Linked DNA regions of Saccharomyces cerevisiae S288C. The protein of the gene in region 2 interacts with the protein of the main gene of each other region in a biochemical or structural test. Each region holds a gene or a part of one and is shown on either strand. Other genes may lie near its edges.

Evidence for each region. The genes of interacting proteins can lie anywhere in the genome.
Region 1: the proteins of SSO2 (region 2) and SPO20 form a complex in vitro, tested with the Saccharomyces cerevisiae proteins (one study listed by BioGRID).

What each region holds. Positions count from the first base shown.
Region 1 is NC_001145.3:305,818-309,199, forward strand, and holds SPO20 (Spo20p), read left to right. Parts: upstream 1-1,671; coding exon 1,672-2,865; downstream 2,866-3,382. UniProt on the Saccharomyces cerevisiae protein: Required to maintain the prospore membrane to the nucleus during sporulation in order to capture the daughter nuclei and form the spores.
Region 2 is NC_001145.3:626,412-629,778, reverse strand, and holds SSO2 (syntaxin), read left to right. Parts: upstream 1-1,970; coding exon 1,971-2,858; downstream 2,859-3,367. Other genes in the region: RTP1 (Rtp1p), read right to left, coding at 1-754; ADD37 (Add37p), read right to left, coding at 994-1,590. UniProt on the Saccharomyces cerevisiae protein: Required for vesicle fusion with the plasma membrane.

The DNA of each region.
Region 1 (3,382 bases), 320 kb from region 2:
ACACAACTAATGCAAAAGATAGTGGGGAAAAACTTCAAAAACTAACAAAAAGAAGTGTTAAAGATGAACTTTTTTCTTTTGTATCGTCGGCTTGCCACATTCGATAAGTTAATAAAACACAAACGGGCAACACATCTACGTACTTTTTATGTGAAGACAAGAGAAAGAATACATCACTGATACGTGCGTCTATTGCGCAGCACTGTACTATTGCGAAGAACTGAGTGAAGGCAAAGAATGAGATGATCGATGCTTAGCCGACTGTTAAACTTACTGAGCGGTAGCCTCTACTAGTTCCTTAGTCAGATCGCACTCAACTTGGAATGTTCCGTCAGGCCCACGGAAGAAAAAGCAACAAAAGAAAGAAAAACCGGACAACATGCGGGAAAAATGCAAACTGTGTGAGGGAAAAATTAACTTTAAAGATTACATCAACGGCGGGAAAAGATCCTTCCGCAGTCCTTCTACTGCGGTTTCCCTGCAGGCACAGCTAACCGGAGGGAAGACAAGTCAAGCGGACATGCAGTTCCCGCTCAGGCTTCTTTGCAGAGAAATCGGAATATGAATTTTTTGTGTTTTTTGTTAACTTCTTTACCATTCGCATCACGGGAAGAGTGTGTTGGCATAAGAGGCGCAAGAAAAAGGTGACCCACGGTGGTGGGAAAGAGAAGAAAAAGCCGTTTGCGGAAAGCAATGTTTTGCCCATTCAGAAACAATATCTTTGCTGTATCCCTACATGTATTATGCCGCGTTGCTTGTGCAGGTACGGAGTCCCTGCACGATTTTTCAACAAGGTCTAGATTTGCTAAGACGATGAGGCGGAGCCCGAAACAAACAAGCCAAAAACCGGAATTTCGCGCTTGGTGTGCTTTCGCATCTTTTCGTGTGGTGAATGCACCTGGTGCACGCTGCGAAGGTGACGTAGCAATCCAAAAAAGGGAAGTCTAGGCGCTTTCAACCGCCCCCCACCGTGCATGCGGATTGGTTGTCACAATTCGCAGACATATTGGCAATGTTTCCTCCCCTCCTGTTGATGCGGGTAAGGGGTGTCTGTTATGCAGGAACAGGAAGGTAAAAATTAAATGGGCCTTAATTCTGTAGACACTCTCTTGGGGTAATAAGGTTAAAAGCCATTGTTGAAGTACGGAATCATCTCTTCATTTTTTCAGCGCTTGTAAGGAATTAATCCCCAGGAAGGTGCCGATGTAATGAGAGAAGTATTCTTGTTGTATCTCTTTGGTTCGGAGTATTTCCTTCTTTCTTTTCTTTGTAGTTTTTATGCAAATGCAGGGAACAGAGTACCCGGTTAAGGCTGTTAGTCAGCCGCACTCTACACAAAATTACTTGGCAAACACGTTGGTTGGGAAAAGCTTTATACTTGGCGGTGTAGTAATTGTAAAGGATCAAGATTGTGTCATGCTAATGTGCCGCTGTGTAACAACCTTTTTGAAGCGCGTATTTACCACCGGCAAAAGGCCATTGTGTCACATAAAAAAAAACTCCCGCCAAAGCCAGGTTCATTTTGCATAAGATTCACCACAGTACGGAAAATACGATAAGTTAACCAGTAATTTGCTCGCTTTAGCTACTGATAAACCTTCTCTGTTAACACTATTATTTTTTTATTACTTTAGATTTTTCCGTTTGTGAATAGCCATTTTTAGATATATAATGGGGTTCAGAAAAATACTTGCTAGCAAATCGCATCACAGTCGCCACCATAATCAGCACCATAAGAACCTGAAGTTGCAAAATCATCGCTATGTACTTATTTCCAATATTACAGGATCCCATGAAACAAAATATTTATCACCCTTCAGGATGGACAATTGTTCAGGAAGCAGAAGACGTGATAGGCTACATGTGAAGCTTAAATCCTTGAGGAATAAAATCCACAAACAACTTCACCCAAACTGTCGGTTCGATGACGCCACTAAGACTAGTGATGATAAATGCGTCTCTTATGAGGTGCCCGAAAGGGATGGCCTTGCTACTATTTCGTTAGAAGAGGTTTTTCCAAAGTCCAACAGGTGCCAAATACCTGAAGAAAACTTGGGAGAAACAGATAGCGTTATTCACAGAGATTTGGGAAATTTTGCAAATGAGAATGACTATCCACAGTGGAGAAAAGTTGAAAGTCAATATAACTTAGAGAATGTCCAGCCTGAGGAGGATGAAATAGTTGATAGACTCAGGTCCGAGATTAGAAGCACTAAATTAAAATCTGTAAAAACGACAAGCAGAACACTTGAAAAAGCTATAGAGGCTCGATGTACTGGAAAGAGAGTTCTTCAACAACTAAGTTGTCAGAGCAACCAACTCACCAAGATCGAGAGCAATTGTGACATGCTTAAAATTCAATCTAACGTAGCCGACCGAAAGATTGACGAACTTGCCCATGAAAATAGAAGCCTGCTTGCATTAAAATCACCCAACCCCTTCAGGAAGAAAAGGGAGAGAGAAAAGCGAGACCAGATCTACAATTTGAAGTTAAAGCATCGTCACTTACAGCAAGAAACTATGAAAAGAGCCCAAGATTCTGACAAAAATTTAGCCATAAATCTAAGTTCTGAATATGGACGGTATGGCCAAGGGGTGGAAAGACAGCGTATTCTTAGAGATGCCCAGAAGTATCAGTTTGAAGCCGATGAAGAAGATAACCAAATGGAAATCGACTTGTACGGAAACCTAGAACAAATAAAAGCGGTGAGTGGTGACTTGAAAATTATGGCTCACGCTTTTGGCAGAGAGTTTGAAGCACAAAACACTAGAATGTTTGACATCGAGAACAATGTACAGCAGGCAGATAATGCTTTACAGGCCAAGCGATATAGATTGGAGAAAGTGATCGGGAAAAGATGGTGATCTGTTATACACACAAAATATCGTGTATAAATATATTGAATAAATAGTTTCTAAAAAGGCATACGCAGATATTCTTGCGAAAGAGAAAAAAAAAAGAGCGAGGGGGACATTAGTACTGAAGGTCTCAATTCTTCTTTGTATTTTCTTTCGGAGTTGTCAGACAAAGCTTTCTCTTTCCCATAAATAAAGTGCATTCAAACATCGGCAGGTTTGTTTTTCCCAGTTGTTACGTATTTGTTTCCCGTTCCATTCATGATCTTAAACTGGGTTAACTGAAAAATCAACATGATTTTGTGAAAAGTAAAAGAGGGTAAGAAAGATAGATACCGCTGTCGTGGGACTATATTTTTTACAGTACCAAGTCTACTTGCTTCTCATAAAGTTGATAAGTTATAATTCATATAATTTCATTTGTCAAAAAAGATTTTAGTTACAAAACGATATCAAAGTTCAATCTTGTTGGGAAAAAGGAAAACATTATGAAGGGTTTCCGGTAATCACTGCGTATGCCACACTA
Region 2 (3,367 bases):
ACTTCGAAAGGATTGGCTCCCTAACCTTTTCGTCTTGAATTGTTTCTACTAGTAGAGTGTAAACCCCAAACAAAGTATAAGTTTCTTGAGTATCTTCTAGATTTGTAATCATTTGTGAAGAGTACCTATTAGGCAACTGCAAATGTAACACAATCAAACCTAATAAAATGTTTGCGTAAGCACTGCCTTTTGATATTATTTCTCTCAGGTAGTCAGAAGACCTCTCACTAGTTAGAACATTATAAAAGACAGTTATGACTTGAGATAAAGTATCGTTATTTATGGTGTGCCATCGAGGCGTTTCATATTCTGCGCTTTTTTGGCCCTTCTTGAAAGTATTTATTCTTTTCGAATCGAATGGAATTTTCATCGTAGGAGACAAATTAGCATCTATACCATGAATAATCAAAAGATTTATCAGTTCGTCTACGTATTTCATATCATGCAATGAGATAGGCAATAAGTCACTTTTACTTTCGATGAGCCTCCGTTGCTGTTCTAGTACGTGAATGTGCAAATTCTGGAATTTCTGTAAAAGTACTGCAACAAACTCATTGTTATTTGAGCACTTCAACGCCTGATAAATGGAAGAGGATGATGATGAGCCTGAATCAAGAACATATTCGTTTATGGGAGTAATTACATTGTCATCCAGATCTTCGAAGAAAACATCTAGGGCTGTCTTTTTGGTGAGCTTCGGTCTTGTATTCAATATATCGTGTATGTTGATCTTTTGCTCTTTATCCTCATTCATTTTCCAACCTTTTGTTTTTCTTGATCTGATATGACAAGAAGAAACATGAGGCGGTGATGAGCCCTTATTGCTATATGCTGTTCGACGCGATGAGATGATTACATGTTTTTTATTAAATTTCTCAAGCAGACTGCGGGTAACCTTGATTTTTAATTATTCAATAGGAATTCTTTTTTTTTTTAGAAAATAAAATGTTCTGCGTAGTGTACTTCTATTTATAAATATAATAATATTATTGATTAATTAGGCATCGCATTTTCAAAAATTTTTAAGAATGCGGGACACCAATTTGAGATTGTTGTGTCAGTAACCATCCAATGTTTAATGGTTTTCACGGCCATATTTTTGTCTTTTTCATTGAAAATCTGGGATAGTACTGTTTTGGTGTGCTCGTTTTGTAAAATCTTGGTAATGTTTGAATCTAATTTTTTCTTGTAAAATTCCAACTCCTTCGAAGAGAGCTTCGAGCCACACACACAGAGGTCGTTGATCTTAGCCACTAATTCTTCTTTACTGCATAATATCGGCTGGAGCTGTCTATCGCCTTGGTCTTTTACGAGCACACCTTCACAGGCAGATTCTTGTTGAGCAGCAGTTACAGATGGCCTCCTCAAAACTGGTGGCGGCGTAGTAGCTGTTTTAGTGTTCCCATAAAGATCTAACACTTCTGTGGCAAGTCTGCCGCTAACACATCTTTTCGATTTCGTTCTTTGTTTAGATTTGGATCTAGGTCCGCTATTAGGGTCGATAGAAAACAAAACTGTCGGACAGTCGTTATAACCAGGCACTTCAGCTTCTAGACAATTCTGAAAACTTTTGGTTGGTTTAATAGCCATCGTACGTAATAGTATGTGCGGAAATAGATTGACGAAGAACCGACAGATGCGCGTCTACTGAAGCTCTTATGAGTAGCCTGTGTGAATAAAGAAGCCAGCTAAAAGTAAATATGTGGCATCTTTATGTCTTACGAGCCGGGTACCAAGCGGCAGCAAAGGGTCCCCCCTAAACGACGTGCTTATCACCCGGCCGTTGTTTACGAAATGGCCTTTTTTGACGTTTTTAGTTTCAATGGATGGATGAAAAAAGCAAGTAAAATGACAAATAAATGCTGTTGGCAGGTTAAATCGTTTAATATACCCATAAGAGAGCTGGAATAGTGTGGAATTGTAATACTTTACATTTGAAAACTGCCCATACACGCACAAATATTGCAGCAATGAGCAACGCTAATCCTTATGAGAATAACAATCCGTACGCTGAAAACTATGAAATGCAAGAGGACTTGAACAATGCTCCTACTGGTCACTCAGATGGTAGCGACGATTTCGTAGCTTTTATGAACAAGATCAACTCAATAAATGCTAACTTGTCCAGGTACGAAAACATTATCAACCAAATTGATGCGCAACACAAAGACCTACTTACTCAAGTGAGTGAGGAACAGGAGATGGAATTGAGACGTTCTTTGGACGATTACATCTCTCAGGCCACAGATTTGCAGTATCAATTGAAAGCGGATATCAAAGATGCCCAGAGAGACGGATTGCACGACTCTAATAAACAGGCACAAGCTGAAAATTGCAGACAGAAATTCTTAAAATTAATTCAAGACTACAGAATTATCGATTCTAACTACAAAGAAGAAAGCAAAGAGCAGGCGAAGAGACAGTACACAATTATCCAACCGGAAGCCACTGACGAAGAAGTGGAAGCCGCCATCAACGATGTCAATGGCCAGCAGATCTTTTCCCAAGCGTTGCTAAACGCCAATAGACGTGGTGAGGCCAAGACAGCATTGGCCGAAGTACAGGCTAGACATCAAGAGTTGTTGAAGTTGGAAAAAACAATGGCTGAACTTACCCAATTGTTCAATGACATGGAAGAGTTGGTCATCGAACAACAAGAAAATGTGGATGTCATTGACAAAAACGTCGAAGACGCTCAGCAAGATGTAGAGCAAGGTGTGGGTCACACCAACAAGGCCGTTAAGAGTGCCAGAAAAGCAAGAAAAAACAAAATAAGATGTTTGATCATCTGCTTTATTATCTTTGCTATTGTTGTTGTCGTTGTGGTTGTTCCATCCGTTGTGGAAACAAGAAAGTAATAGAGCACATGCGCCTCCCTCCCGCCAGCCCCCCAATTCCTATTATGTGTAATCAAACAATTTCTATTAAAACCGAAAACCTAAAAATTGTAACGTCTTTTCTCTTTCCTACTATACCCTCCTCATACCTGCCTTTTTAACAATTAGTATTATAATTTTTTTTTTTCACAAAAAGACAATACCGACTATCTAATAAATAATTTTAATACGTATGTAATTTCGTTAAGAACAAGAATTTTTAAGTAAAAAATCTTACTTTTAAGAAAAACTGTCGCCCTTAATATTAGTCCCAATTTTGTAACGAAAAATAAAATACAAATCGGGGTGGAAAAAGGGAAATTTTACAACATTATTATTCCAAAAACTAGTTTTCAAAAAGTAAATCGTGGGGGTATGAACAACAATTGTTGTAGTCGCAACTACGGTAATTGGTCCTAAAAAATTATTCTCCGGGAAAAAAAGAAGAAACAAAGAGATCCCGAAACATAAGTCCCGTGATTCTTTTTGCC